Linked DNA regions of Drosophila melanogaster. The protein of the gene in region 3 interacts with the protein of the main gene of each other region in a pairwise test. Each region holds a gene or a part of one and is shown on either strand. Other genes may lie near its edges. The genes, in order: CG14452, Smyd4-4, Neto and Cul2.

The links.
Region 1: the proteins of Neto (region 3) and CG14452 interact in a two-hybrid assay, tested with the Drosophila melanogaster proteins (one large-scale study listed by BioGRID).
Region 2: the proteins of Neto (region 3) and Smyd4-4 interact in a two-hybrid assay, tested with the Drosophila melanogaster proteins (one large-scale study listed by BioGRID).
Region 4: the proteins of Neto (region 3) and Cul2 interact in a two-hybrid assay, tested with the Drosophila melanogaster proteins (one large-scale study listed by BioGRID).

Annotation. Positions count from the first base shown.
Region 1 is NT_037436.4:22,692,540-22,698,853, forward strand, and holds CG14452 (uncharacterized protein), read left to right. Parts: upstream 1-3,413; 5' UTR 3,414-3,430; coding exon 3,431-3,784; 3' UTR 3,785-3,896; downstream 3,897-6,314. Other genes in the region: CG12546 (uncharacterized protein), read right to left, coding at 897-1,250; CG14453 (uncharacterized protein), read left to right, coding at 1,563-1,964; CG32453 (uncharacterized protein), read left to right, coding at 4,708-5,070.
Region 2 is NT_033778.4:12,137,438-12,145,890, reverse strand, and holds Smyd4-4 (SET and MYND domain containing, class 4, member 4), read right to left. Parts: upstream 5,261-8,453; 5' UTR 4,941-5,260; coding exon 4,677-4,940; intron 4,621-4,676; coding exon 3,497-4,620; intron 3,385-3,496; coding exon 3,051-3,384; 3' UTR 2,619-3,050; downstream 1-2,618. Other genes in the region: Hen1 methyltransferase, read right to left, coding at 1-131; SkpB (SKP1-related B), read left to right, coding at 5,967-6,452; CG18343 (uncharacterized protein), read right to left, coding at 6,734-7,033.
Region 3 is NC_004354.4:13,441,923-13,449,949, reverse strand, and holds the start of Neto (neuropilin and tolloid-like), read right to left. Parts: upstream 4,048-8,027; 5' UTR 3,673-4,047; intron 1-3,672.
Region 4 is NT_033779.5:21,654,852-21,665,459, forward strand, and holds Cul2 (cullin 2), read left to right. Parts: upstream 1-3,883; 5' UTR 3,884-4,110; intron 4,111-4,243; 5' UTR 4,244-4,302; coding exon 4,303-4,421; intron 4,422-4,988; coding exon 4,989-5,213; intron 5,214-5,271; coding exon 5,272-6,349; intron 6,350-6,496; coding exon 6,497-6,614; intron 6,615-6,678; coding exon 6,679-6,785; intron 6,786-7,232; coding exon 7,233-7,601; intron 7,602-7,666; coding exon 7,667-7,780; intron 7,781-7,837; coding exon 7,838-7,969; 3' UTR 7,970-8,847; downstream 8,848-10,608.

The DNA.
Region 1 (6,314 bases), on a different chromosome or scaffold from region 3:
GACGGCCTTTTATACTCAATACGGGGTAACAATTAAACAAATATCATGTATCGGAAATCGGAAATGTGTGCACAGCCTATCCAGCTCGTCAATGTCTTGGGCTTGTAAGGTCAACAGAGTAAAAGAGTCGATCGATATATTATTGATAGTGAGCCGGGTTTAACTCGTTGAAAACGAGATAAAAAGGTAATATTATAACGCTTCTTACGCCTAATTATGTATGGCGACCACGTCACGTCTGAAGGAAATATTTGGTATAACCTATTTATGTACATTCACATCTTATCTGAGTAAAAATCGCAGCACTTGACGAGTTAAAGGTGTTTTATTTGTTCTTCATTTGAGCTTTGCGTACCCAATTAACAGTTTTGTGCTGTTGCATTTTGGCTTATATCCATTTAAGTTCTCCGAAATTAGAGATTTATTTTCCAAAAAAACAAATACGTGGTTTACATTATTTTTAAACCAAACACAACAAAGATGTGTATAATTATATTAATTTTATACCAGTTACCGATTTCAAAATTCGTCTCGATTTGAAACAGGCTACTCCTGGAATGAGACTAAACTAGATTTGTTGAAAAGTATGTAACAGGCGTTTCCGACCCTATTAATTATACATATGTATATGCTTGATCACTATTACTCCGTCTGTCCGAACGAATGTCTCGACCTCAGCAACTCTAAAAGCTAGAGAGTTGAGAACGTTGAACTCCCTCAAGCCGCTTAAATATGCCACTCCCACACGTTTTTGTGCTCCAATAAAGTAGAATTATCAGAATGTACAATCAAATGTTTTATTATCTTGGCGAACTTGAACAATGAAAGAATTTAGCTTTCACATATTTACAACAGCTTTTCCTAAATTGTCATAAGCCGAGTCTTTCCGAAGACCTTCATCCGCTCAGCTGGTTGATCTGTCGACGTTGATTCTCCAGTTGCTGGCGCAGCCTCTGAGTCCTGCGCTGCCTTCTGCGCTCCCTTCGTTGCCTCTCACGCGCCAGACGACGGCGACGGGCGCGCCTGCGCCTCCTGGCCTCCGCAGAGGAAGAGGATGAGGAGGAGGCAGTGGTCGTGGTGGATGCGGAAGAGGCAGTGGTGGTAGTGGTGGCGGACGAAGCCGTGGTAGTGGTGGCAGAGGAGTCGGTGGTTGTGGTCGTCGTCGAGGATGTAGATGTGCTGCTACTGCCCTCCTGGCTAAGCAGGAGGCATCCTAGGACGGAAAGAACAATTACGATCGAGAAGCGCATGCTGAATGTCTTTGACGCATTTGAGACGTTACGCATGTTTTTATAGCAAATTTGAATAATGGTGGTTTACCAAAAGCGTGTAAGCTAATAGGTCTGCTGGATTGTTAGCTTTAACTAAGGTAAATTTTGGTAATGTTTATTCAGATTGAGAAATTATGTGTGCCGCCATATAGTTTAAACGTTGCTCTTGAGTCTTAACACACATAATAATGTAATAGATTTACGGTAATGAGCGCGTTTCTCAACCAAGTTTCCGGGTTCAACATCATATAAATAGGCTATTCTCCAAATCATAAGATATAACTGCTTAGAATGCGATTCATATTTGTTCTGCTCTTGGCCCTTCTCGGCTGCCTCCTGTTTGCCCAGCAGGGCTGCGAAGCTACGGGAACGAGCACTGAAAGCTCCTCGGATAGTACCAGCGCCTCGGACACCTCCACTACCGCGTCCTCTTCCTCCGACACAACTGAAGCCTCAACGTCTTCCGACACCACCACAGTGGCCTCGTCTGCCACGACTACCACCACTTCTTCGTCCTCGTCCTCGTCGTCGTCCTCCAGCGCGGCCGCCCGTCGTCGCAGGGCCGCCGCCCGTCGTCGTCGCTTGGCCCGCCAACGGCGCAGGCGCCAACAGCGCCAAAGGCGCCAACAGCGCCAAAGGCGCCGCCGCCAACAGCAGCGCAGAAGACGCCAGCAAAGGCAGCGCAGTGGATAGACGATTGCTACAGTCGAAGAGGAGGCTGCTGCAGCTAGAAACCTGTCGAGTCAGACAGCTAATACAAGCCAAAGATTGATGTTTTAACTAAATTGCAGTTGCGTTGCTGTGGGATATTCCGTTTTTTAAAAATAAAGAAAATTTTAAAAAATAAATTATTTATATTTACAACTTAGAGGGGGTCTCTTACCTCAATGGGAATTTCTGAAATGGAGTTGTTTGTTTTTTCAGTCTGTTCAAGCTTTCTGTTCTGGCAAAACTAAGTAAAGTATGTCTGCTTTCTCAATTGATGATTGTGTCGTGTCTAATTATTAACTCAAATGCACTATAATCTTAGAGACCATGTTACGTTTTTCAAATTATTATTATTTGCCAAAGATAATACGGACTTAAAATCACGAAAACGTGCTAAGATGGCAAAGCACGAAATTGTAAACTAAATTGTCGCTATCAAATAAGTTGACTATCCACAAAAGGATTATAGATCCTTGGGGCTTGGCTTGTGAAAACCAACTCAATAGGATCCAGGTTATCCAGAATAGGGCTGCGAAATTGGTCACTGGTTGTGTATATGTGTATTTCATTAAATAAACCAGCACTCGAGTCTCTACTATGAAAGGCTAAGGCACCACAGGAATAGTCTGGCAAATACCCTGTATAGTACACGCCCACCAATGAGGCTTAATAGAAGGCAACCGAAAGACCTCATTCTTCGATCTCCTTCAAGGAGGGCCAGTAGACCCTGTCCTTTATACAACTGTTATTGTCCCTTTTTGTTTTTTAGATTTTAGATACAGATAACTTTAGTAAGCTAAATTAATAGCTTCCATGGTTCCAAAGGGGGAGGTGGAAACCAAATAATAAAATGAAAATGCAAAAATTGTTCAAAAGTGTGGGCGCGACAGGTTTGGGCGGTTTGTGGACGTTAGAGTGCGAGTGGCAAAAAGTTTTATGACATATCGAAAGTAATTTACGAAACTAACACAAAAATCACAAAATACAATACAAAAACATTTTTCAAAAGTGTAGGCGTGGCATTTTTGGGCGGCTTGTGGGATATAGAGTGGGCGCGTCCGTCTATGTCTCTAGAATCTGTGTTCCTAATCTCAACCTATTACGCCGTGTGTTATTATTTTAGCATGTTAATAAATTATTTGAAATGTATTTTTTAAGAACGTTTAATTTTACTTACGGCTTCCCTTTTTCCAAAGTACGTCATGGAAACACCAATTTGAAAACACCATTTTAAATTGTAATCTTTATTTATAATTTTAGCTGAAGGGCTATTTTTTTTTGTAGAATACCAATTAATCAAATAATATCATAGAAAATATTTCGCCAAGGAAAAAACAAAAGAATACAAATCGAAAAGCTGAGCAAACATATCTGAATGTCAAGTGTAAGAACAAAATAATTACAATCTAGTATAAAAGCGCCCACTTTTTTCCATCTTACACACATTCAGCATGCGCTTCTCGATCGTAATTGTTCTTTCCGTCCTAGGATGCCTCCTGCTTAGCCAGGAGGGCAGTAGCAGCACATCTACATCCTCGACGACGACCACAACCACCGACTCCTCTGCCACCACTACCACGGCTTCGTCCGCCACCACTACCACCACTGCCTCTTCCGCATCCACCACGACCACTGCCTCCTCCTCATCCTCTTCCTCTGCGGAGGCCAGGAGGCGCAGGCGCGCCCGTCGCCGTCGTCTGGCGCGTGAGAGGCAACGAAGGGAGCGCAGAAGGCAGCGCAGGACTCAGAGGCTGCGCCAGCAACTGGAGAATCAACGTCGACAGATCAACCAGCTGAGCGGATGAAGGTCTTCGGAAAGACTCGGCTTATGACAATTTAGGAAAAGCTGTTGTAAATATGTGAAAGCTAAATTCTTTCATTGTTCAAGTTCGCCAAGATAATAAAACATTTGATTGTACATTCTGATAATTCTACTTTATTGGAGCACAAAAACGTGTGGGAGTGGCATATTTAAGCGGCTTGAGGGAGTTCAACGTTCTCAACTCTCTAGCTTTTAGAGTTGCTGAGGTCGAGACATTCGTTCGGACAGACGGAGTAATAGTGATCAAGCATATACATATGTATAATTAATAGGGTCGGAAACGCCTGTTACATACTTTTCAACAAATCTAGTTTAGTCTCATTCCAGGAGTAGCCTGTTTCAAATCGAGACGAATTTTGAAATCGGTAACAGGTATAAAATTAATATAATTATACACATCTTTGTTGTGTTTGGTTTAAAAATAATGTAAACCACGTATTTGTTTTTTTGGAAAATAAATCTCTAATTTCGGAGAACTTAAATGGATATAAGCCAAAATGCAACAGCACAAAACTGTTAATTGGGTACGCAAAGCTCAAATGAAGAACAAATAAAACACCTTTAACTCGTCAAGTGCTGCGATTTTTACTCAGATAAGATGTGAATGTACATAAATAGGTTATACCAAATATTTCCTTCAGACGTGACGTGGTCGCCATACATAATTAGGCGTAAGAAGCGTTATAATATTACCTTTTTATCTCGTTTTCAACGAGTTAAACCCGGCTCACTATCAATAATATATCGATCGACTCTTTTACTCTGTTGACCTTACAAGCCCAAGACATTGACGAGCTGGATAGGCTGTGCACACATTTCCGATTTCCGATACATGATATTTGTTTAATTGTTACCCCGTATTGAGTATAAAAGGCCGTCTGATTAGATTAGATTAGACACAACAAAATGCGCTTCCTATTCGCTCTACTTCTCAGCGTGCTCCTGTGTCTGCTCCTGGCTCAGGAGGGCAGTAGCAGCACATCTACATCCTCGACGGCGACCACATCCACCGACTCCTCTGCCACCACTACCACGGCTTCATCCGCCACCACCACTACCACCACTGCCTCCTCCGCATCCACCACGACCACTGCCTCCTCTTCCTCCTCCTCGGCGGAGGCCAGGAGGCGCAGACGTGCTCGCCGTCGTCGCCTGGCTCGTGAGCGCCGTCGTCGCCAGGAGCGGAGACAGCGCCAGGAAAAGAGGAGGCGCAGGATGGAGCAGCTGCTGGTGAGGCAGCGTCGCCTGATCAATCAACTTCAGGGATAGATAGGGCTGATTACCAATGTTACTAGCAATATAAAAATAAAGCCATAAGTGCTAATTAATGTGCTAATTACATATGCGTTGCTTAATGGCCTGGTAAAAACCTACAAAGTGTAAGTTTTAGTCCTTTTAAATGCTAAATGTGCAAGTCATTTACTGAAAAGTTACTATTGCAATATTATGCTTAGTAATCTTTATATACATATTGTAGTTTTACAGTAACAATAGACTTCTTTCGTCGGTAGGTATCATTACTCTAAAAGCAATGTGAAGAAGGAATCTTACATGCATGCCATGCAATAATCATATATTTAACGAGAGAGAATGACATAGTAGAGCTCCCCAATGTGTGGGATATCGATAGACATTGAATAAAATGAGACAAAATTTAAAAATTGTTCATAAGTGTGTGCGTCACAGTCTGGCGGGTTAGTGTCGTTAGTGTGGGCGTGGCAAACAATTTCTTGGCAAATCAATGAAAAAATATTCAACAATTTTTAAAAAACGTGGTCGTGGCAGTTTTGGGCGGCTTTAGGGCCTTCTTTTGGCTTCAGGCCAAATTGGTCAAAAAACTCGTTCTGCGTCTATTTCCCTACAATCTGTATGCTGAATCTCAACCTTTTAGCTATAGTTCCTGAGATCACGACGTTCATACGGACAGACGGACATTGATCCTGATCAAGAATATATACACTGCCTGTTACATACTTTTCAACGAATCTAGTATAACCTTTTATTTATCAACTCGGCAGTTGATACATCATCATTACTGCGTTTCAGGCTACTCACTTAGATTAGTATACCCTCTGCAAGGGTATGAAACAGATAGGTACGCTGCAATGGCTTTATTTGAATGTAAGTCTTGCAATTATTCTCCTATCTGAGAAAGTTATATTGTTAAGCCATTTTTCGATCTGCACATAGTAAGAATGGAGCCAAATTAAAATGTTGCGCATTGTCGCCCGATATCCTTCGCTTGGCCCCATTTACGTACAAATCCTTCAAAGCGGCGCCCGCTCGAAGGCCTAACCAAGCTGTGGTGCATTTCACACGCTTCGCCGGAGTTCTGCAACACGAATTGGCCCAAAGGATGTCGAAGCAGCCAGGACGAGGGCTTGGGCAAAACAGGAAGCCTCGAGCCCACACCGACCGAGGCGAAAGTTTCGTGTTGCTGAGCTGGCAAAAAAGTTTTGCCGTCGTCGCTGAGGCTGCATTAAATCTGTGGCCAAATATGATTTCTAGCTTTA
Region 2 (8,453 bases), on a different chromosome or scaffold from region 3:
TCCTTCCAGCGGGCGTCCTCCAGAATTTGGATTGTGGCGCAATATCGCTGCTCGTACACCGGCGGATCGAATGTAATGCCGGTTTCAGTCATTTTGGTCAAGGACCCGCAAATAAACTTGTGCGAAAACATTGCCCGTATCGTTAGAGTGACCACTGGAATCCGTGACGAAAATCTTACTGTCACTGCACTTGGAAAACTACCCAGAACTTTGTTATCTGTATATCGATAGGTGCTGTTTTCAAAAAAAGGGGCGGTCATTTTTGTGTAACGAATTCATTTGTCCTTTTTTCTGTAGGAACTATCATATCATAAATACCTAACCATAACTATTTTCAAATGGTTTTAAAGCCTTTCTAGAATACGAATCCAATTCGATATTTTCGATAGTTCCTGTTTTGAAAATTGATGCATTGAAATCTTCAAATTAAATGCGGCAACTCAATTTAAGCAATATATGTAAATATCTTGCTATTTGAATTGGCGATCTTTTTTTCAAATGCTAGGTAGTAAATTCAAACCAGTGTAGCTTTTGTGGTAGGGGAATCACGCAATTTCCGGCATCCTTTCCGGACGACCTTCGCTGCAGGTGCTTGCCTCCCATTTGGACTGGAACTTGGTGGTAGACCTCACCAACCACCAACCACTCCGCCCGACCAACGAATTAGCAGACAGGTCTGCTGGTCTACTGGTCGTGGGAGCTTTCCATCCTGTTGTGATGGACATACACATATGTATAATAGGGTAAGCGCTTTAACTTTTTAACCTGCTGCCATAATTTCCAGGCTAATTACCATTGCCCTGCGCTTGAAATGGAAATTTACAAATCAATAAAATTTATTGCCCGGCGCTGGTGGAGGTTCGTCCTTCCCACCATGGCTGCCATAATTATACACGGCCTGTCCTGTCGCCACGGACAGACTTTCGTTATTGTTTGCACTGAAAGACGTTGCCGAGGCTCTCATAAAGCCATCAAATGCGAAAGGACACTGGAAAAAACGCCCAGTGGATATATGGTAAAGGTCAACTTATATTGTATATTTATGATGAGTTAATGAGACCAAAACCCTTTTAGCCTACAAAATATACACATATACATTCGTTTTCTTATTGGTTATTCAAAAAATTAAGTAAGAAAACATATTGAAGAATGTTTTCTGATTATACCGAACAATCAAGTTTGGATCTTTAGCTTTTTATAACCGATGTTATACGAAACGATTACGTATTTGTTTTCCGTGTAAATGGGGGCCGGCAGTCCGCACGGAAACCGAAAATCCAATAACGGTTTTGGGTTCCGAGCCTTGCGTGCTCGACGAAGTCATCGGTTTTCCAGTTTAGTTCGCAATCGCCGCCCGTGCCATCGAGTAGCCCGTCAAACGATGGCCAACTTTAGTCCACGCCAGCTGTAGAATCCCCGGGCCAATGTCTTCATCCTGGTCAATCTCGGTTGCGAGATGCTCTACGTGATCGATCAGCGGCTGAAGGCGCAGCAGATTGCTCAGGACAAATCGGTCCAGGGTAAGAAATCCCGCCAAGAAATTTGAACATGGATATTACATTTGAGATGCTAGAGTCGTCCTTGCAAGCTTTGGTAAAGGTTAAAGTTAGAGCCTTGGAGTCTTCTGCATAGCTATATGCTTCAATTCAAATTCAAATTCAAATTTAAAAGACACTATATATATATCTTCCACCAGTTATCCACGATGTGACTTCTGTGCTGCTCGAACCAAAGTTTATAGACTCGCTCCTAAACGGATCGAAACACAATAGTGCGCAGCTTTTGACCGCCGAGCATTGCAAGTTTATGCTGAACGACATTGCCACCTGCTCCTTGATGCGACTCGACGAGCAGTCGATGTCCAAGCTGTGGAATCTGATGACTATGGTCTACAAGTGGCAGCTTTTCGTTTCCCGCCATCAGCACCATCTGCTGGAGATTACATTTCGGCACTTGGAGGCGATCAACAGGTTGTATCCGGATGCCAAACGGCATATGCTGATTGACTTCACGAAAAACACGCTGCTGGACTTTTGGAATGCCAGCGGTGAGGATGCGCAGCTGTCCATCTACCAGACGAATCGGGCCTGGCTGCAGTGCTTTAACACAAAGATATCGCTTTTGATTCGCATGGGCTTTCAGGCCATGGACGGTAGTTTCATCAGGGACGTGGATCAAGATTACTACGCGGAATACGTTGAGTCAGCCGGCGATAATATCTATGCGAAGAGTGCCGACCAGCGGGAGCGCCAACAACGGGAGCCCAACAGCATGGATCAGCTGGCCGCTCAGCTGAACATAAATCCGGCGCAAAGTGAGGATCTGCAGCCCATCAACGCCCGCCAGTTCCAGCAGCAGTTCGAGCAGGCCTTCGGCAATGTGCTTTTCAATGACACAGCGGCCAGCTCCTCTGGCTGCGAGTTTGTACAGCTGCAGCCCACGACATCGGCATCGTCCTCGGAAAAGGTGGCGACGTCCATGTCCCGGGGAGGATCCTTGCTGAACCAGAACCTGCTGGACCTGTACAGCAAAATGCCTTGAGGCCAAAGTCACTTCGTTTTGAAAATATTTTATTTCTGCTTCAGTTGGTTTTTGTAAAATAATTATAAAAACGACGTAGGTTGCATAATAATCCTTTGTTTGTTTGTTTTCATCGAAGACATTGTTGTGATCAAAAAATAAATAAACTTTAGAATTTTGAACTTTCGAATTGTTGTGAAATGTGTGGTGGGTGTGCTGGGCGTTGTGTGGGTGTGCTGGGCGTTGTGTGGGTGTGCTGGGCGTTGTGTGGGTGTGGTGTGCGGGCTTGGTGCGGGGTAAAACATAATCAAAGGTCGAAAATGTACAATTACAAATATAAAAGTTAAGGGCATGCTCCCTCCCCATCGCGCTGCTGCCTGCGCTACAGACTTATGGCAACAACATGTATGTATAATCAATTACTCTCCTTGATTTGTGTCTCGCTTGTAATACGCTGTCTCCAGTTAAAGTTAGCAAAGGAAAAGTTCGTCCGTGTTGGTTGTGTGGGTTGGTTCAGCGGCAGGATCCGATTACATCTTCGCCTTGAGCGGCACTGCGTCCGCCATGATATGCAGGGCCATCTTTAGGCACTCCTCCGCGGAGCTAATCTGCTCGCACGGATAGTCGTCACCGTATTGCGTGAGGAAGTCGCAGTACTTTCGATAGTTGCTCACCGCGAAATCATAGTTGTAGGAGCTCAGTGCCAATTCCGTGTCATCGGTAACCGATGGCACCGTCGCCTTGTGCGGCATCATTCCGAACATAGGATAGTTCAGCTCGCAGCCCTCGCATTTGCAGTCGAAGCGGTACTGCAGGGACAGCCTTTTCAAACGCTGCTCCTTGCTGCAGATGGCGAAGTGAGCACTAAAAAGTTGGATATCTATTAGTTTTAGTATTTGAAGAGAGCTGCAGTGACTTGGACCCCTATTAGCTTGAACTAAAGTGGTGTGGTCAGAATGCTTTGGTTACTACTTACCCGTAATTGTCGTAGAGCACATTTCCCGCCTTAATAGGCCGCAGGACGAACATGTACGCCTTGGTGCCCTCGTATATCCTTACAGTATTCGGCGCACAAGAGTGATTTATGAGCGAGAGGAAGGCGTACGCCCCAGACGAGTGCGTCTGGTCGTCCTTGGTCTCGTTAACCTGCTCGACCAGGTCGATGCCGTGCATATTCGAGGGAGATGTCTGCAGATGTCGGAACAGGAGGTCCGTGAAGAAGTTCACGCCTTCTTCGCCGCCCAAATATTCCTTGACGGGTGTGTATTCGATTATGAAGTGCTTGAGCACAGCACAGACCACGGAGCGCTGGAAGAGATCGGAGACGGAGCGCAGGTGCTGGTTTGTCACCAGTCCATGGATGGCCCGGTAGTGCTCCTCCGGCGTCAGCTCGTTGTAGTTGAGGTCAAAGGCGCACTTGTCCTGGTTCTGCTCCTGCTCACAGAAGTCAATTAGCTCCTCGATGCTGGGAAAGATATTCAGCGCGACCAGTGTGGTGCGCAGTGCGATACAGTGGATCTTGTTGAACATGCGGTTCAGAAAGTCAATGATGGGGCACTCGTAGCGGTGATAGGTTTGCATGGCAATCGACTTGCACTCCTCGGAGCAGAACATCGTGGAACAGCAGCTGTCGCAGGGTATGAGGGTCAGATAGTTCTCCCGCTTGCAGGTGGCACACCGAATGTATCGCATCGGCGTCAGCAGTGTGGAGCAGAAGGGCTCCTCCACGGACACAAGATCCCCAACGGCCAAATCCCGATTGGTCACCACAAAGCGACCCTCGGCGGCGGTTTCGCGCAACTCCAAACAGTCGGCGATGAAGGGCACCTGGGCATGCGGTTCGAAACTGAGCTTGAACTCATAGGGCACCACATCCGGCGGTTGCTGATCGAGTAGCTGTTGGCAGTCCCTTTCTCGCTTGTCTAGTTTGTGGCTCAGTCTCGCCGGATAGTTGGCCTGCCTTGCCAGCTTGATATTGTCCAGGCATTGCCGATAGCGCTTCCACTCGAATAGTACCGCCGACCGATTAGCATAGCCGATGGACAGGTGCTCCGAATTCGGTTCGGCATAACAGATGCTTTTGTTGTACAGCTCTAGAGCCTGAAACGAGTCGCAGGGATTAGCTTAAGTTTGCCGATTGAGGGGGCAATGATTACCTGGAAGTAATTCCTGTTCTTGAGCGAAAACTGCTCGTTGCCCAGCATACGGAACTCCACGCTCCGCTTGTTGCACTTGTCCTCTCGAAGCGTTACATTCAGGAATATCTTTTCAATGTACTTGAAGTCAATAAGAGCGCGCATCACGAAGTCAACCTTGCGATGGTTCTCCTTCAGCTCGTTGAACTTGCCGGATATGATGCCGATTAGTTTCCAGTCCTGCAGCTTCTTTATCAGATCATCGCTCACGTCGTACACGTCCATCTCTTGTGCGGGGTAGTTTCGGAAGTCCTTAGTGTCCTGGAATTTTCTCCGGATCGGATTAGATCTGATCGGATGGCTTCGGATCCTTTGGTTCGGTCCGCGTGTCGACGCCGCCGCCTGTTTTTTTCAGCCGGAAAAAATGTTCTTTTGGCCCACTGCCGGTGCCGCGATTTCTTTAACTGGCGCAAGTGCTGACCGCTAATTAGCGATTTCACGGGCGATTACTATTCGGAAATATTCTAATTATGCACACGGCGATTTTAATGTTATTTTTTTGACGATTCCGCTGGAAGCAGTGTGGAGTATAGCCTGCGAATATATAACCCAGCACAGAGGGAAATGTACTAAAAAATGCCGCAAGTTGACTGCTTGCACTAGCCGCGACACAAACCCTTGGCCTAGCTTAAAATTGTTTACAAAAATATTTGAAATTTGAAATTCATTAAATAAAAACAGGATAAAAACTAACTATAAAGGCAGAATTTTGTAGGTTTCTGTTTAAATAATACAACGCCCAGCACGCTTGAATTGTGCCAAAATATATATGTTTAAAAAAAATATATATATATACATTATAAAAAAATATAACTGAGCTTTTGTTTACCGCTAGCTGTCACAGTGTCTCCACACCATTAACTGTAATAGGCGCCATCTTTTAAAGCCATTCCGAGTATGTGCACACTGGCGGCCGTTTCACTAACAAATTTCCTCTTCAAATCGTACGACGTTCTAGTTTTCTAAGAATCCGGGGAATTATTGGCAGCCAAGTTCTTTATTTAACAAACGCTCTGTTCTCAGGCGGCCGCCGCACCAGTCCGGTTCAAGTTGAAGGCAAGGGAATATTATTTTTAGCCAGTAGGCCACAGCTAAGTGACATCGTGTTGTGTCTAAAAATTTTGTTTGGCTGCGTCTGCAAATAAATCAAACCGATTTCGTATCAAATCTTGGGATCCAAATCAGCAGGAGGTGTGTACGAATAAAATTGAAAATATAGATATAAGCAAAAATAAAAATTTTTACGCAGAGATGCCCATCATTCGGCTGGAGTCTGCGGACAAGGAGATCTTTGACACGGATCAGGAGATCGCCAAGTGCTCGGAAACGATTCGCATTGCAATAGAGGATTTGGGCGATGAGAGCGACAACAGTGTGCTGCCGTTGCCGAATGTCAACTCGCTGATCCTGAAGAAAGTGCTCCACTGGGCCACCTATCACAAGGACGATCCTGTGGTTACCGAAGAGGTTGAGAACAAGGAGAAGCGCACTGATGACATCTCATCCTGGGACGCTGACTTTCTCAAAGTCGACCAGGGCACGCTGTTCGAACTGATCCTCGCGGCAAACTACCTGAATATCCAGGGTCTGCTCGACGTCACCTGCAAGACGGTGGCCAATATGATCAAGGGCAAGTCGCCGCAGGCTATTCGCGACACCTTCGCCATCCAGAATGACTTTCTGCCACAGGAGGAGGAACAGGTGCGCAAGGAGAACGAGTGGTGTGAGGATAAATGAATACCATCAACTTACCATGACGAAATTAAAGCTTAAATTTTTTGTTTAATCAACATTTCAATTGAGATAGTTAGCTGATCATGTTAAGAGTCAGCAATTGTTCTGTTGGGTTAATTAAATAAAATATTATGCTTTAATGTTGGCAAGTGCTCTTTAACAAAGGAATTAATGACAAACCGTTTAATGTAATTTACAGTGTTCTTCAATTTGGAATTTATATTTGATTTAGTTAATGTAGTTTAAAGGCCGTGGTCCCGATGGCATTCGCCAGATTGGTCACTTCACCCGGAATAGCTAACAGATGTGATGTCGACGGAGCCCAAAGCTAGCAGCAATCGGATGACGAAGAGGGCGATAACCACTTTGAGGACGATTCGCACGCAGGACAGCAACAGTCGGAAGCCGAAAAGTATTGCGTAGCACGTAGCCCCCAGGAACACCACGTATGTGATCAGATCGCCCAGAACAGAGTACATGGACGCGTTCCTGTAGACACATTCAAGGAACTGCGTGCCGCATTGTTCGCCATGTCCCCAGCCGTATTGCTCCCGTCCGTTGCCAATACTGCAGCTTTTCTCCATGTTTAGACTGACGTATATGCTGGATAAGCCGACAAATGGGACATTTCCTTTGTCCAGTGTGCAAAGCAAATCTTCCAGTTGGAAAAAATCAGCTGTCTAGTGTGACCGCATTTCGATCGTAGTGGCAGCACTGCATTTTTTCAAAACATCGAGGTATGAGAAATGGATAGAATTTTTATAAACGTTACTCGTAGAGTAAAAGGTATACTAGATTCGTTGAAAATTATGTATCAGGCAGAAGGAAGCGTTTCCGACCATAAAAAGTATATATATTCTTGATCAGGATCAATAGCCGAGTACGCCTGTCTGTCCGTCCGTATAAATGTCGGGATCTCAGAAACAATAGATCCTAGAGAGTTGAGATTAAGATTGAGATTAAAACGGAGTAAATCGAAACGGAGTAAAGTCCTGACTCAAATATCTCTAACTTCTAGCGGCTCTAAATTGGGTCTTGACTAACTGTCGATAGCCCCAAACAGGTCCGCGACAAAGATGAAGTCTAAAGCCTTTATAAGTAAGAGGTATGTGATAGTCTACGGTTTTTAATGTTCGGCGATTGTGTAGTACATCACAAAAAAATTAATTATAGCTACGAAAACATAAAAAATACATAATTGGTTTTATTAAATATGCAAAACTTTTTGTTTACAACCTATAAGTGTTTAATGCTTGGCATCGGCAGGAAGTCCAAAATATTCTAAAAATAGCTTGTACCTTTCAATTTTTAAATAAGTTCTAAAATAAACCGCACTTTATCAATAAATGCTGTTTCACTTATCACAACCAGAACCAAGAGCGTTTGATTAAATTTATGAAAAGTTTTTAAATTAGCAGCATTAGCAACCGCACAGCTAATTATTGCAATTAATGTCACTAATAAAATACAGCTTAAACAATAATGTATGAAGTATAGGTGTTTTTTCAAATTGTGGTTTGTTCTCTGGATAACGTGCATTTAAATTGGAGTACTAAGACAAACTGCTATGCCGCACTGATGGTTCCATTCTCGAGTTATCAAAGTGGCCAAACCCATTTTTTTTTTCAAACTACAGTGTCTTAAAGCTAACCTGGCCATAATTGTAATGGCGACCTTTAAACTTCAACGCTGTGCATTGAACTGGCTGAAAATTTGTTAAATCCCAGGGATTCCCCAGGGAATGGCTGCCGTGCAAAACGATACCTGAAACTGATGCTTCAAAAATGAAAAAGAATACAATCACGACAGGCGAACGAGCAATTTTATTTTTCTTAGAGCTCATTCGGTTCAACGTACTGCGTCTACTATTCGCCGGCAAAATTAAAATTAAATAGCAGTCAAGTCGCCCACCCAGCTTACAAATGTGAATAAATGGCGCAAAGTAGGGTCTTTTATGTATATTTGTACTTATTACTTACAGACAGTGGGTGTGAAACCATGAGA
Region 3 (8,027 bases):
TTACATTTCACTTCTGTAATATTGCTATATATTACAAAGAAATATAAATAAAACAATATGTTTTATATAGCATCTAATCATTTCTCCAATTGTTCTTCAAACATTTATTTCTGCAGTTTTGAGGGAGCAAAGAACTAGGTAAACCTAAAGTACTTTATTCCATATTTTGCTCTTGACATTCTAAGCTATTCCTCGGATTTTGAATACCATTTCAAAACGACATTGCTGATGATTTTGTGCACCATTGTTTTTCATTTCCTGAAACATTCACTTTTCACTTAAGATCTGAAGGCACAACCGCAATCAGGTCATATAGCCGACAGCTCCCATGACAATGTGCAGATACACACAACATTTACCTATATATAAATGAGATTTTTCACTTTACATCTTTGGCTTTGTTGTGGCCCAAATTTCTGCAGTGGCCGCAATGTAAAAAAAAAATAAATAAATAAATAACATATACACAAAAGATAAGAAATATCCCAACGAAACCGCTGTAAAGTGGTTAAGATATTCTTGAAAGATCTATTATTTGCAGGACAGCAGTTTAAATGCATCATTATAAATAAAAATAAAAAAAATGCGAAAAAAATAATCAAATAAATTACTGCCAACGAGTAGAAGCCAAAAAGTGAAAGCAGTACTTTATCTGGCCGTCTCTTTCCTTGTGGAAATGGCCATGTTGGTTTTCCATTTTCATGGCATTTTGCATTTCGCTACTGCCTGGGTCTGGATTTTCATTCTTTTCTTTTCTTTTATTTTTTTTTTTATTTTTATTATATTTGGTCAGTTTTCTTTTTCTCCCTTTTTCTGCTGTAATGAAAGCGATTACAAGCCGACAGCAAAGCAGACGATAATCAGGGGGAGAGGCGGCGGGTTGGTTTGTGGAAAAGCCATTTCCTTTGCTTTTCCACTTCCTCCGCCCCTTTTGTAAAGTTGTCGGGCAAATTTATGACATTTATTGAAATCGTTTTTCTTTTGGCTTTTCCAGCAGCCCGAAAAAAAATGGCCCATTCCCATTCCCATTCGCATGCCCATTTCCAGGCTTTTCTGCTCTTTTTCCGTTCTGATTAGTTGTATGCCATTGCGTTTTCCAACCACCCAAGTCCAGCTGCAATTAGTTTCACATTCCACGGGAAATTGCTGCGAAAATCGCCGCACAATGCAAAAAGGCTTTAAGATCAGACTTTTTTGCGGCCAAAAATAATACGGGGAAAGAAATGAAAACACTGTGGACAGACACAAATAATAAATAAGAAGAAATCCCAGCAAATGAGAGAGGACCTGTTGCTCGGGACACAAAGGAAATGGGTGGTCAAAGGAGGCGGAAAGCAGTTAAGCTAACCGAAATCGCCAAAGGAAGTTTGGGCTTAACTGTAAAAACTTTTGGCTTAATTTTATTGAAATAAATGGTTACAAAAATTGAACAAAATTTAATCTCAGCACAGCTGCAGAGAGATAAAACTAAATGGAGTCCAATGTGGAAAAACTAGAAGGGAAATTACAACATGGCTAAGAAAATTAAAAGGATCACAAAAACGAAATGGTTGAATTAAAATCAATGGAGAAAATCTGAACAACAATATAATCACACTCAGAAAATACGGAGTACAAATAAATATTGCTATTAAACATTGATTTGTAATTGTTGAATGCTGGATACATTCTTCTTGAACAAAATAAGAATACACAGAAGAAGAAAATAATATGATTTAAGCTTTCTTTTGGAGTAAGAACTCATCCTTTACTTTAGTCCTTAAAAGGCAGGAATAATCCTTTTCCCTATTTGACCAGCTGGTCAACATGCCATTAATTACCATCGAAGTTTCCCTTCAAAAATAAAAAAAACCCTCGTGAATAAAAGTTTACCACAAAAATTTTGTTTGCCTCGCCCAAATTTATGAGGGCAACATGCTGAAAAAATTTAAGAAAACCGAAATGGGAGCAGCAAAAATGAATGGAAAATGAGAAGAAAAACTAAGAAATCGACGAGGGCGCTGAAAGTGCGTGTATAAGATAGCCTTGAGCCACATATGTGGGAATGGGATATAGAAGAGCGACAGACGAGATGAACATAATGCAAAACTTTGTCAGCCACCGATAGAGAGAGATGGCTGCACAGCATGCGAAAGAGATGGGACGATTGGAAGTCTAGTGAATTCATTGAGACGGCAACAAAACAGAGAAAACACTGGGAAATTAAGTTAATGGACAATTAACAACCAACACAATACCCCGTAAACAATTAATTTATTCAATCTACTAATGCAATAAATAAAGATTGCATTCAGTTTTGCAAGCCCAAATGATTATTATTGTTTTGCGGAGTATATTTTTATTTAACCTAATAGCATAGTTCATCAATCCCTAATCCATACACTGCGTATTCGCGAGGGTATTTAAAGAAAAGCCGATGGAAAACCTTCGTCAAAGTTGGCGCTAACGGAATTGTTGTAGTTGTAGCTTGGAAAATCTTCTTCAATAACAGCAGCAACAACACAAAATACCCATTACGCATATGTAATAATTTTTATTTTCATTTTTTTCCGAATTTTCTTCTGTTTTTTCTTTCTCTTCGTGTGATCACAGCTGTGCCGTGGACAAGGAAAAGCGGGAAAACGAAAGGGAAAATTGGTGAGAGAAGTGGGAAAGCCTGATGGCAGCCGTTTAATTTTTGCTCTTGTTTTTGTTGCTGTCTTTTATTAATGAATTTCTCTCATTTTTCACCAATTCTCTATAGCCTCTGCGTTCGTGTCTTTGGTTTTTATACAATTTTCCCCTCTTCGCTTACTCGTTCTGCTCTTGTTTTTTTACTATTTGGGCTATGTCTAAAAATATGTCCGCCAATTCGCTAAGTGGCCCCAAACTTATCTATACGGGATACATAGAAAATACGGTCGAAGTTTCCAAACGAATGCGACAAAATAGTTTAAATTAAACATTCATTCGAAATCTTTCAACATATATTGTAGCTTATATGAGATAAATAATAAAAACAACAAAAAATCGAACACTTTTCAAAATGTTTAGAAATGTTTAATCGCAAGTATATTCGATCTAAAACTGCTGAACAAATTAACAATTAATAATATGTATAAATATATCCCAAGACGCATTAAAATAAAATCAAAGACTTAAAGCGCACTAATAAAAAAGAAAAACTCATTTAAGTGGGCACTTACTAGGAAATTACTAGAGATTATTTTAATATTGCTTTAGAATCCGCATAATGGACGCCTTCTGTGCAAAAGGAATTTTTATGACACATCCACTTTTTGCCTTTTCATTTCCATTTTGTTGGCTAAAACCGAACAACTTTTACAACTACAGGCTAAAAGAGACTAATGTGCCCTCTGGATCATTGAAGCTTGATTTATGCAAATTTCATTCAGCTACCACAGCCATAATGCCTTGATTTGATTAATATATTCGCAAACATATTTATTGCCTATTATGCGGAATGCAGCAGTATACGTATTTATTTTATAATTGTTATCCTTTGCAACTTAATATTGTCACTAGCCCACTAATTAATTGGTAAATATCGGCAAATAGATTTGTTATTTTAAGAAAACACGGAAATATAATTTGTTTACATTGCAAAGCTGCCATCTAATATATATATGTATATGTGCATATGTTTAATTTATATATATATGTATATATTACTATTTGCGTGTTGTCGCCTCCTTTGGCTGCGTTGCGAAATGTTGTTTTTATTTGTTTTTGTTGCCGCTGCGCTCCGCGAAAATATCTCAATTTTTGGCGCGCATTTTTCAAGCCGGCAAGCTTTTCACACACACACACTTTCACACTGGCACTGTCACTGTCACACAAACAACCAAACAAAAAAATTTGTATTTCTTTTGAACAAAAGCAAAACCTTAAGATTTTAAAATCGTATCTCTGGTGCTTGTCTATTAGCAACCAATCGCGATGTTTTTTTTTTTTTGGTAGTGAAACGTTAATATCGAATGTGCTGTCACCGGAGAAAGCGAACCGCGCCGCGTGTCCGTACACGTGGCCAACTCGACGTAGACTGGGCGTATACGTAATGCCGGAATTTGTGGCTCTGCTGCATCGAGTCTGCCGCTCGACTGTTGCCGCTGCCACGGCGGATGCTGCCACTGCTGTTGTCGACCCGCCAGTGCTGCTTACTTAGCCGGCTTTCCCGACAACTCTGGCTAGTTTTTCCAGCCGCTCACTGTCTTATTCTTTTCTATCAACCAAAAAGAATTGTATTCGTATTTATTACTTTATTATGTTACTACCTAAAATTGATTGAGTTGTTTGCCCAATATCTATAGAAGTTTTTTTTTTAATACTAACAATCATTAACATAATAAAACAAACTAATTGGATTCCACTTGTTAAAAAAAAAAATACGTATTAATAAAAATATCTAATTTTAGAAGAATATCACACCATAAAATAAAATACTTGCGAGAATCTAGCAATTTTTGTCCATTTCCCACGCTTAAAAATTAATTTCCCGAAAAGAAATTTAAAAATTATAAGCTGATATGTATTATCTTATTTTTCTAGCCTCTCAAATTGACAGTACTATTTATGACGGATCTTAGCTTTTAATTATTTCTTTTAAACAAAAATTGTTTCCTATTAGATTTACGGATGTGAATATGAAAACTGACAGTGATCTATAATATCTTGCTTTTCTATAGAGATTAAGAAATAAAAACTTAATAAAAATAAATTATGGGAAACGTCTGCTCGATATCCAGATGCATTTCTTAACATCAACATATTTTCGCCGCCCACTTTCAAGCTCATTTTAGTATATACATTTTGATATGGTAAAGAGCCAAAAAATAGTGCGATTTATTTTAAAACTTAAACTCATTTTATCACAACATTTCACCAAAACGTTAAACAATGATGCAAGTATACGGGTTTCATGCGAACCTTAAGAAATTGGAAAATAATTATTTTCAGCTTTTTTTCCCCCCCAAAATATTTGGCATCTCTGAGGATGCTCCACAAACGCTCAATGTCGAGTGAGTGGGAATACGAGGCGATGGCCGAAAGCAGCCGAAGTGCGTTCGTTTGTGGCACAAAATTTCACTCGAAACGGAATTTCCCATTGTTCGAGTGCGAGTGAGATGGGAGTGAGCGGGAATTTTGAGTGAGTTGTAGGTTTTTTACTCATTTCCGCTGGCACTTCCGACGTCGTCCTGGGCCAAGGAAGTTGTAGCCACGCTGACAAGGACAACAAAGTCTGTCTTCATTTTTTGTTCGGCTTCTTCGCAAAATATTTTATTTTATTTGCTTTGGTTATATTTTGCTTTCTTTGTGTTTTTGTTGTTATTCTCTTCTTTTTTTTCGTTTTTTTTTTTTTGGTGAAATGTCAAATGACATGCCTGGATCACAGACTGTGGAAACTGTTGTGAATGTGGTTTTCTTAAAGCCTCAAGCGATTTGATATTTCCTTTGCGATTCGTTTGCATACATTGTACGAAATGTGTGCGAAATAAAAAAAAAAAACGACTTCTGTGGTCTCTTAAAAACTACATTCCCTTCATTACAACATATTTTTAATAACTTGAGATCCCGCAGATTACGTGAAGTTTCTCCAGACACTCTTAATTGCCTTTATATTAGCTTTCGAAGCGTTGCTATGACAGAACGCGTTAAACACCTCAAATAAAAGTAGAAGCCTATCATCTAATACTCTCTCAAATTAACCAATTTTAAAATCTATGTCATTGCTCGAGCTGCTTAAATTAAATTGATTATTAAGCTGATGGAAACCTTAAAGTATAACCAACAATCTGATGTTTATTATTGCAAAAACATATAAAATTTCCAATTGTAGGTTGTAGTTACGCTTACTTGATAACCTGATTAAGTTTTAAACGAAAGGCAAACCAAAAGAGAAGTTGTCATTATTTTCATTACCTCTCCCAAGCTTAGCACGTTTGCAAAATAATATAAAATAAACTGATGTTTCGAATGCAAACTATAACAAGCCGTCAGCTGTGACTTAAAATCGATGTAATCACATTAATACCCAATTAACCTTAACCAAAGAGTATCCTTTGAGTCTGCCAGCTTGAAATTCCAGCGTAAAAAAGTGTTGCCTGCGAAGCAAAGGGACAAAAAGCAGCGCCATGGCTGCGTTTTTGCAGCAGGATCTGGGACTAAGGGCAACGGAGAATGGAGAATGGAGAAAGCTGAAAGGAGAAGGACCTAGGACAACTGAGACCAAAAGCCGCATTGTGCGAGGCCACAGGATATGGGTAGGATGGGCAGGATGCGCTGGATGGAAGGGACGCGGGGTCGAGACGTTCCTTTGCTTCAATTTGCTGTTCTATTTTGCTATTTTGCCGCTTCCACAGGCCACAGGGCAGCAACAACAACAGCGAAAGGCGGTCAAAGGTTGCCAGAGTTACAACCAAATGAGTAAGATGCGAACAAGAACAGGCGAACAAGTGTAGCACCAACACCCACACACACACACACACACACACACACACACACACACACAGCGACACCCACAGAAGGAACAACAACAATACCGGCAGCAGCTGCCTGTTGCCTCAGTAAGGAATAATTTGGCCCAGTATTTGCCACCCACTCACCCGCCCCAACTTCTGTGCGTTATTATTTGCCTTTCGAATCCAATGTGTGTAATGCCTTCGAGTGTGATTAGCAGCAATGTACGAGTCATGACCGTAATAACAAGGATATGCGTAAGGTCCCAGGAACCGCACCCAAAGGACACGTTGCTTGCAAAAGAATTTCACTTGCCCGCCTGGCCCGCAAATTTATTCGCAATCAACGCTATTAAGTGTCAATCGACCACTGCAATTATTAATCAGACGTCTCCAAGGATCAACTGGGACACTGGGAAACGCAAATGTAAACGCAATAGCCCGAGCACAAACAAACTCAAAGGCCTTAATTACATAATCAACGAGTTGGTCCATAGTTATGCAAGCCCAAGCCCAATGATATCCAAGTATATAACTCGTTCCATAGTCCATAATAATTGTGGGTGTCTGCACACATATCCATGGCGATAAACGAGTATATTTGCCAGATTCCAAGATTGTATTTATGGGGTCGATGGTTTCCTCCATGCTCTTTGTTTTAATATTTGCACTTAAATTTGCTACATCCCATTTGATTTTGCCAATTTATGGCACTGTTGCCTTTTACATGAATTATGAACATGATGTACTTAACAAATCGAAAGATCAATTAGTTCATAGTCCATGTGGTACGTTACGTCTTGAATGTGAATTGCCATGAGTAATAAATGTTACCATATACTATAGTTATGTGAAGTTGAGATAAACGCATTATTCTGGCTTGTTCATACAACATTTACATACTATAATTATCTTGTAGAAATTCAATAATTCGCAGAAATTTTAATATTTCTCATTCAACCGATTTCAATTCCATTATTACACCAATTTGTAATTTAATTGTAGACATGGTAAAAGTCACTCAGTATCAATGTCACAAGCTCCATGGCTGTTAGCAAGTTTTCTATAAGAATTTAAGTACTCCAAAGTCCACAAACCGATTGAATCACTCACTGGCTTCAATCGAAGCTAGGCAAACAAACAAACAAAAATTTTGCAACGATTTAGCCGGCGAAAGTTTTTCTTATTTAAAGGGAAATTCTCTCGGGGCGAAGAAAGTTTCCAATTTCATGGATCCACACAAATTCAGAATGTATAATTAAAATTATATTTTTGATAATTGGTAAACTCGACTCGGTCTATCCTATGCAAAAGTTTGTCGGATGAAAAACGAAGGCCGCAAAGCCGAAAAAGGACAATACTGACTGCAATCCTGCCCACACACAGACACGCATACACACACACACACACACACACACACACACGCCATTACACACTCCTTAGCACATTCAGGACAATGACTGCTTTACGGAAAGCTGTGCAATGAATGCAATGGGCACCTGTCGATGGCAATTCAAACAGGGCAGCCAGGAATTCGAGATACAAGTACACTGGAAAAAAAGCGCATCAAAA
Region 4 (10,608 bases), on a different chromosome or scaffold from region 3:
TATCAATGCCGTTCAAAATAATGCACATGAGAATAGTTTGGAAAAACTTTTTGACATCAATACAGAAGTAAGCGATAATGATAAATGTAAATTAAGAAATATATTGGAAAAGTATGCCGATAGTTTCGTAACTGGGATACCAAATAAGGCGCATTGGAAATTCGTTTAAGTAATAAAAATAAAAGTGTTCAAGGGCGCCCATATCGACTCAGTTTCCATTGCTACTGATTTTGGATCAAATAGATCGTTTGCGGTGTGGTAAATATTTTTTTCATTTGTTTTAGACATGGCCAGCGGATTCTATAGAAGAGTCAAGTATGTCTTTCCTTAGAGCTCCCAGTCGCATCATAGTGGATCAAGGCAGAAGCTTTGTCAGCAACAAGTTCCGTGAGCTTTGTTCAACAAACAGGATTGAGTTGTTTTCAATAGCTACAGATGCCAGCAGAGCAAATGGGCAGGTTGAAAACAAATGAGCGTACAAGCAAGGAAAACATGCGAAAGGATGTAGAGTAGTTCGGTATGAGGTCATGTGTTAAGTGAGAAGTATCATCGAGTGATTAATGTACTAGATGGTCATCGACACAATTTGAAGTCGTTAGTTATCAAGCGAACATATAAATATTCGCATGAATGTAATGGTGACTCCCAACAGAGAAAAGAGTTGAAGGATGGCACTAGTGAACGTGCATCTGTGTCCCAAGAGAGAAAAGAGTTTAAAGATGGCACTAGTGATCGTGCATCTGTGTCCCAAGAAAGGAAACATTTGGCGAACGTTATGAATAGAATGGCGTGTGACCGCACTATAACAGCTAACTCGCAGGGACGAGAAGTGTTATGGCGGGGGTCAAGTGATGATGACTGCACTATAACAGCTAACTCGCAGGGACGAGAAGTGTTATGGCGGGGGTCAAGTGATGATGACTGCACTATAACAGCTAACTCGCAGGGACGAGAAGTGTTATGGCGGGGGTCAAGTGATGATGACTGCACTATAACAGCTAACTCGCAGGGACGAGAAGTGTTATGGCGGGGGTCAAGAGATTGGGTGTGAGAGAAGACACGCCAATGTTATTATGAGAAATTAAAGTCATGGAAAATGTAAATAGTTTGAAGTTTTGATATGTAAATTGGAGATGTCTTTGTAAAAGAAAAATCAGTCATGAGATGAATTGTCAATTAAATAATTACTGATTATTACTTGTTGTCATTAATTGTTCTTAAGTTGACGAAGTTGTGTGACTTGGACTTGATTGGTGGATTAGGCACACGAGGACGTGTGAAAGGTCAGGAAGGCCGTGTCGGAGCGCGACTCTTCGCATTCCAGAAATTCCTTCTGTGATTTCATATTCTGATGAAATTGTAATATTGCGGTAAAATTCTGTCGAGCGCTGCGGCAGAGGCACGAACAGCCTCTGCAGCTGAGTGAGGTCCGATCGAGTGGTCATAAATAGTGTGTTAGAGAGAGATGACAATGTGGCACACGTCAGTGTGTATAGCCATTAGAGAATATGATGAAGAAGGGACATGTAAGAAGATCCCTTCAGTGAAGTTTGACTGCTGACGTCGATCGGAACTTGCTGCGCTGACGTACAAAATCGCGAAGTGAATAAATAATATGGATGAGACTCCTGTTTCGCCGACATATATAAGAAAAATTGTCTTCTCAAAAATTGTGAAAAACAAATTGTAATCCAACTTTTTACATAAATAAATAATAAAAGTAAAAATCTTTTAAGGTACCGTACAACTTGGAACAGGTTCTGTGAGCGAAGTAATTAATATTTGTAGTTATCGTCGGAATCTTGTATATGTCGAAGAGTCATCAGGACACTCTTTTTCCTCTTCACTATTCTCGTTGTTGCATAACGTTTTCTGGCGCGTGAGCGAGACATGTCTGTTCTGCTCAACGATCGATCACTAACTGACCCAATCTCTCTTCACAAAATCCGAATTACGCGTAATTCTTAACTCTACACGCATTGCCAACACATTTTGGAGACCCACTCCAGTCCGCACTAGTGCACACCGCATTTTTCTGTACGCTTCCGTTATTCCTGCAGAAATCTACTTGCACCCGCTCCTACCCGCGACCAGAAACTCTAACGGTTCTCTGCCGCGCATCAAAAGAATAGAAAAGGCAATTACTAGAAATGTCGTTACATTTAAATGATCTGCGACATATACAAGTTGTCCACGTACATGTTGATATACAAATTCAAAACTCCAATCTCAGCAGCAGATAAATAACCAAACTTAAAGTAAACACCAGTCAGAAAATTTCAATTTCACAATGCTGTGAAATAATTTCAGTATAAAGCTTTTATCCTAAACATATTTGAAGTTCCAGAAAATTCTAAAAAATTTCTAGGTTGAGTGGATTAGGATTTAGATTTAGAAAATCAGTCTAAGTCCGGACGAGATTGTGAACATTTTCAAATTAAGGATAAGATAAGATAAATAAATTTTAAATTTTAATTTACATGTATCTACATATGTTGGCTGTTGTCTATCCCAGTTTCGAAAACAATGCATGTAAAAAGCGTGTAGTCACAGAAAAATTATATCTCCACGAAAACTGTGGATTAAATTGTAATCAAACTTTTTACACAAATAATGAAATTACAACATTTTTAAGATACCGTGCAATTTGAAGTTTATTTAATTTTTTGGAATTCACCTCCAAATAACGATTAAGAAATAAATACAAAACGTCTGCCGTGCTGATGGCTCAGGCTTTCCTCAGGCTGGAGTACCCCCCATGCCACAGCTCTAAACACTAAAGTCGATAACCACCGACGTCTCACAACACTGAAAATGTAAGCAATGTTAAAGCGAACACAAAGACAAAAAATTTAAATGTTTTGAAATGCTTAGAACATCACACCTTTTGGTAAATCGGAGTCCGAATTCTTTAAATAATTCTCGGTATATATATTAATTATTTTTTACATCATTTACATCTCAATCCATTTCTCCATCAGTATATGGTATCACACTTGGATCGACGACTGCTACATTGGATAGGTCAAAGTGAAATGTGTGGATGGCCTTTGGAAGCTACAAAGGCTGGAAATAGTGGTAGGCGATGTGCCAATTTTTGGCGCATATGGAAGGTTGCAAGTATTGATCACCGGCGGCTACGGTGGATGTGGCTCCAATTTATTCTTTGGAGTAAATTTCCGGTTTGGTGGATAAAAAAGTTCCAATCGACTGACAACCAACAGACAACTAAAAAAATTTGGCGCTCAACGATCTTAGCCATTGACAAATATGAGACTTTCTGATTTTTTGAGCTATACATTTTGTAAATTTTTGTTTCTTTAAGCTTAATGGTTTTTTCGTTTGTTTATCTTAGCCTTTATATATTTTCTTAGTAATTAAACATGTATTTATTTTGTATCTATCTCTTTGTATTTGTATTTTTTTGTATGTATCTCTGTTTGCCTTTTCGAAAGCCACATCTAGGCACTTAACAGTTTAGACCTTTAAAACTCGGTCTGTACAAAATGGATCATTCTTCTAGATCATACACTTACCTTTAAGGCATAACCCTTAACTCACTTTTGAAATCTTTTGAAAATGTATATTCTTTTGAACAAAAAGGTTGGCACTCGAGAGCAATAGCAATACGTATAAGCAATCGAAAAAAACGAAAATCATAAAAAATCCTAACATTATTACAGTTCACATATGAAATCAATTTAGGTTTGTGCACTTACAGTTTTTTAAGAAAATGGCTTTGGCCAGTTTTTAGGCAGGAAGGTAAAAAATTTGTTCAGTGGATCGGCGTTGACAATAAATTAAGATCAAAACAAAAGCAAACGTTTCGGTAGTGGAGACACGACATTCTTTTTACATCGAATTTTTTGTCGAGTTCAAATATCGATAGATTATATCGATATCGTCTTCGTCTGACAAACCATTTCACGATACCAAAAAAAAAGTGCAAAAATAACTAAATTCTCGGCGTAATTATTTAGTAAATAGCGTAGCTAAGCAGCAGGTGAGTAGGTCGCAAGCGCGCCCCTCCACGATCCATCAAGCGGTAATTGGCCTGCTGTGCAATTGCTCGAGGACAAGGCCATTTGCCTGGTGGCCCCCACGCAAAAAGTAAGCGATTATGCCAAAAAGCAAAGCAGAAGTGGTCTCTGCCAACGCATGAGGGTCGCTCGGTCGCCCATTGTTATATTTGCGAAGGCAGAATCAGTCGGCGTTCTAATTAGCGTGCACCCTGTCCCATCAGAAAACCCTTCCAAATCCATATCCAGACGGACCACGGATTAGGACTAAGACCCATTTGACATGTCGCTCAAGCCCAAAATAGTGGAGTTTGTCGATGTTTGGCCGCGCCTGCGCTGCATCGCCGAGTCGGTGATAACGCTCACCAAAGTGGAGCGCTCGGTGTGGAATACTAGCTTCAGGTACGTCTTGGCAACGGTCGGAGTATTAAACAGCCTGGAGAGAGATATTGTGATAGGTCACTAGAGACTACAAAGTTACCCAACTCAGAAGAAACACAAATAACACTAACTAACTTTTAAATTAATCCAACATAAGTAATGGTTTCAATCACATTATTTTGCATTTGAGTTGGTAAACTATGAATGTACTAGTACCTAGCGGTTCAACTATATATTTTATTCAACAGCAAAATTCACAAATATAGCTGCTAGCGAGGCGAAAATGATTTGGTAAATGTCGTAGAATCTTGATAAATGCAATCATAGTTTTAATAATAAATGCCTGTTTTCTAGCTTGAATTTAAATATTTTGACCGCTTAAAGGTTAAACTAAGTTCAAGTAAATATTAAATAGATCGATGACGTATCTTTTTAAAATTAATAATCAAAACAGTGTAACGCAGGCTGCTTTTATTCTGACCGCAACTGTTCGTATATATGTGTGAAGCGTGAGTTGCCAAAATAAAATTTCTAAAATAACGAGCACTAATACATCTGTCTTTCCAATCACATTCCTTTAACATATAGCGACGTTTACACACTGTGCGTGGCGCAGCCGGAACCGATGGCTGATCGTCTTTATGGCGAAACAAAACACTTTCTTGAGCAGCACGTCCAGGAGATGCTGGCCAAAAAGGTGCTGATCGAGGGAGAATGCTCCCATTCCAATGGTGGCCCAGACCTTCTCCAGCGTTACTACATCACCTGGATGGAATATAGCCAGGGTATCAAGTATCTGCACCAATTGTACATGTAAGAATGCATCGAAGTCTGTAATAACTCAATGATCGTTGGAATTAATTTCCTTTAGCTACCTGAATCAACAACACATCAAGAAACAAAAGATTACCGATACGGAATCGTTCTACGGTAATCTGTCAAGCGATGCTGCGGAGCAGATGGAGATTGGCGAGCTAGGTCTAGACATTTGGCGCCTGTATATGATTGAGTACTTGTCCAGCGAACTGGTCCGTCACATACTCGAGGGCATTGCCGCAGACAGAGCTAGCAATGGCACCTTGGATCACCATCGCGTGCAAATTATCAACGGAGTGATACACAGCTTCGTGGAGGTACAGGACTATAAGAAAACAGGCTCGCTTAAGCTCTACCAGGAACTCTTTGAAGGCCCCATGCTGGAGGCCAGTGGCGCCTACTACACAGACGAGGCTAACAAGTTGCTCCATCGGTGCTCAGTGTCGGAGTACATGCAGGAGGTTATCCGGATACTGGAATATGAAAGCCGGAGAGCCCAAAAGTTTTTACACGTCAGTTCCCTGCCAAAACTACGTAAAGAGTGCGAGGAGAAGTTTATTAACGATCGTTTGGGCTTCATCTACTCGGAGTGCCGCGAAATGGTTTCAGAGGAGCGGCGCCAAGACTTACGCAACATGTACGTCGTACTAAAGCCCATACCCGATAATCTCAAGTCTGAGCTCATAACCACCTTCCTCGATCACATCAAAAGTGAAGGTCTGCAGACCGTATCTGCGCTGAAGGGCGAAAACATCCATATTGCGTTCGTAGAGAATATGTTGAAGGTACATCACAAGTACCAAGAGCTGATCGCAGACGTCTTCGAAAACGATTCTCTATTCCTGAGCGCATTAGACAAGGCGTGCGCCAGCGTTATCAATCGCCGGCCAACCGAGCGGCAGCCTTGCCGTAGTGCCGAGTATGTGGCGAAATACTGTGATACGCTACTGAAAAAGTCTAAGACCTGCGAGGCAGAGATCGATCAAAAGCTTACTAACAACATAACCATATTTAAATATATCGAGGATAAGGATGTGTATCAAAAGTTTTATAGCCGACTGTTAGCCAAGCGCCTAATCCACGAGCAAAGTCAGAGCATGGATGCGGAGGAGGGAATGATCAATCGTTTGAAGGTGCGTGGTCTGCTAGTCTAAAATGTACTTCACAGTGAATAACTGCAATAATGTGAATTATTTATTTTTAATGCTGTTTTAATTTGTTATGACCCTTTTACAAAACTACATTAGCTTAAATAGATCTTCTTTTATTAATACTTACAGCAAGCCTGCGGTTATGAATTTACCAATAAACTTCATCGCATGTTTACGGATATATCGGTATCAGTAGATCTGAACAACAAGTTTAATACTCACCTTAAGGATAGCAATGTGGACTTAGGTGAGACGGAAAATGTATATTCATTAAAGATAGTTTATTTTTATGTATGTGTATTTCTATGCAGGCATCAACCTTGCCATTAAGGTACTGCAGGCGGGCGCGTGGCCCTTGGGATCTACTCAAGTTATACCATTTGCAGTACCACAGGAATTTGAAAAATCTATTAAAATGGTACGTTTTTCGTAAATGTATATATTTTATTTTAAAACGAGATAGAAGCTGCCTTTGACAAACCAAAGTTATAAAAAATTTTTTTCAGACTTTCTTTATTTAGTCAAATTTTTAAAGAGAGGCCTTTTAACAATATTCAGAAACATATATAAATATTTAAAGCAGCAATAAATACAAATAATATATAATAATAAATACAGAAAAACCTTTATGTAAAAAACTTTCCTTCAAATCGACGACTACATCGTAAGGTGTTCTCTTGAAATGTGTGACATATAGAAAGTTAAAAGTATCTTTATTTCAATAAAGGTACTTTAGCATACCAAATCAAAACGCAACTTCTTTTGGTCCAAATACATCTTAAACCGTGTGACTTTGTCGAAGGTACTTCAGAAATTTTAAATGTATACGTTAATCGTGTACTGTACCTTTGTTATGATTTTTCAGTTCGAGGATTACTATCATAAATTATTTAGTGGCCGGAAGTTGACTTGGCTACATCACATGTGTCATGGAGAATTAAAGTTGAGCCATTTGAAAAAATCTTATATCGTGACTATGCAAACATACCAGATGGCGATAATACTGCTGTTCGAGACTTGTGATAGTCTGAGTTGTCGGGAGATCCAGAACACCTTACAGCTAAACGACGAAACGTTTCAAAAGCACATGCAGCCTATTATCGAGTCAAAGCTTTTAAATGCCAGCTCAGAGAATCTCGCCGGTGAGACTCGAATAGAATTAAATTTGGATTACACAAATAAGCGTACAAAGTTTAAAATAAGTTCGGCTTTGCAAAAAGAAACGCCACAGGAGGTAAGGCATTTCGATTTCAACCTGGTTACCTGGTACCTGGTTTTCTAACGACGTTATTTATGTAGGTTGAGCACACAATTAACTCGGTAGATGAGGACCGAAAACTCTTTCTACAAGCCGCCATTGTAAGGATTATGAAAGCGCGTAAAGTCTTAAAGCACAATGCCTTAATACAAGAGGTAATATCTAAAACACCTGACTGTGAATTAAAATTACATGATGTATTTTTTCTTTAGGTTCTCTCTTTATCGAAGGTTAGCTTTACTCCCAACATAGCAATGATCAAGAAATGCGTGGAGTCATTAATTGACAAACAATATATTGAGCGAACGGCGAACTCGGGCGATGAATATAGCTACATGGCATAGACTGCGGTAGAGATTTTTTATTCTTAAACAAGAACCTTCCCGGACAACAACCTCCCATACACACAACTGACGCTAACCAAGCGGCTTATTTTGTCTAAAAAGAACTACCTACAATGTTAAAAAAAGAAATCAAAAGGTCAAGCAATTTGAGTTTTGTTATTTTTGTGGTCATAGCATATTGGTATGAAAGGTGTGTGGAAATCAAACGACGTTACTGATACTTTTAATTTAGCTTAGTTAGTTGATCCATTTTGATTTAATGCGTGTGTCCTATTCAATTGTAGATATAATATATTTCTTTATGTATTGTATATTTATCTGGTTTTATTAACACACGCACAAACCAGAATAATGTGCTGGAAAATGTATAATAAATCCCAAAAAATGTCTAAAAATATGTCATTCAAAGTATTTCGTATCCTGTGCGTTAACGCTGTACCACTGTACACTTCAAATTTACATAAATGAATGCTGTGCAAAAAGCAGTCAGCATTGCAGTTTAAGTATGCGGATAGAGATCTGTACTTTTTATTTGGTCGTCTCGGAAAAAACTGGATCTATTGTCCGGAATCCCATTCTTATAATTTTTTGATTTTCTAGTACTTTTTAATAACGAATCCGGGTAGAAATAGGCGTACCACCACCTACAAATTGGCATATCGTATATTGAGCTTTGAGTTGTCAAAGTGCCAAAGAAAGTGTAAAAGCAAACATTTTTCGAAACTTTCAAGATTGCTAAGATTCTTAGATTTTGTTTTAAAAGAGCTTTTAAGGACTTTCCCATCTTTTTGTTTTTGCTCACACATTTTATTGGACCTTGGTTTAAAATATAAAATTCCCTTAAATTCTTTTACTAATCTTAGAATGTCGATTTTATTAATTTACAATACCTTGTACGTATGTTCAGTAACCATTTAAGTTTCGCCTTTGCCAAGAAATCCAATATTTGTATATATTAAATACCCAAGGGCCGTGGATTATATTTGTTTTTAGTCATTTTTATTTCTTTTGTGCTACTTTTCTAAAAAATATATATCATAATGGTAAATTAATTAATTTTACAAATATGTATATGTAACTTAATAGTTAATTATAAAAATTATTAACTTCCTATATCAAATAACACTAGTTCATTGAACGGAATAAATAAAAAATACTTTTAAGTCGCTGATAACATTAATTTGTTTTGATAAATTCGGTAGAACATGATTGTAATTTGTTTCGCGATAAAAAAAGCGGTCCCATAAAAATCTTTTTAACGCTTCTGAATCCATGGCCATACCCTGAAAACAACTGCCTTCAACGACTTAAAAGCATTTTGGATGTAATAGCTGTAACTGTAATACAATTCGTTAATAATAATTTTATCTTGTTTTTGAGTGCCACAGCTCCCGCTGATAAAATGATTCCAATATTTATGTTTTTGGCATCCACTGAGTGTTAATAAAAAATATGTTATCTTTCTTATACATTTTTTATGGTTCATTTTTTATATTTAATGACTAGTAAACGTTTACATATTGCAATTTTCCTTTCCAACCACTCAACTTCATTTTTGCTCAAAATTTGAGAAAAGCTTTCTCTGGTAAAATCGTCTTGAGCATTTTATAAGTTTAAAGTTTTTATGTATTAAATTACTCTCGATCTTGTTTTTATTATCAAACATTCGTTAAAATGTGGAGGGTTTAACTTCATTCTGTTTCAGTTTTTGGAAATTCTATACGTATCAGTTTTAAGAATTTTTTTATAATCTCAACTTGATTTTCCTGTGTTGCACTCTGGGGCGTGGCAGATGTTCGATTAATAATTTACATGAGATAAAAAAAATATCTCATTTTATTGCCCGTTTCTAGCTCCTTTAAATACCTTGCACAACTTTAAATTGATGTAAGAAATAAAGTGTTCTTGCCTAGAACCCTAAACGGTTTAGTCGTAGTCCAAACTATATATATTATATATATATATATATATACATATATAATATATAATATATAATATATAATATATAATATATAATATATATAATAATATATAATATAATATATATATATAATATATATATTTATATATATTCCTCATACATATACGAGTATGTATACAGATTTAAACTAATTCAGTGCTTTTAAATTTCTTGTTGCGCCACAATGCTGCGTGTATTCGGTTAGATTTTGGTTATTCGATCATTGGTCATATAACTACAGTAATTGCTTTAATAGTATTTTAAAAGATGAGTGTTGACCGCACATTCACTTTACACTTTATTTTCTTTGACTTGTAGGAGTGAAATCTTGTTTGTATTTGTTAGGTTCATTTTATTTATTTTGCCATTTTTTAAATTTAATTTTATCTTTCTTAGCGTTTTTTTCATTGTCAGTCTTTACGATTCACGGCTTTTGTGCATTTGAATTTTCCAATTGTCTTCTTACTGTATGACCAATACGAAATTTTATGTATTTTTTCAAGGCGAACGAACACAAGCGCTTTGCTGATCGAATGAGCAGGTGAGTGACTAGGTGAGTGCAAAGATGAACTGGCAGGTTTCGACCCGATAGAAGTTAATGCACGGTTATTATAATTTTCGATGCTACTATACACATATGTATGTGTATATAAAACAAGGGGTATATCCAAGAGGGGAT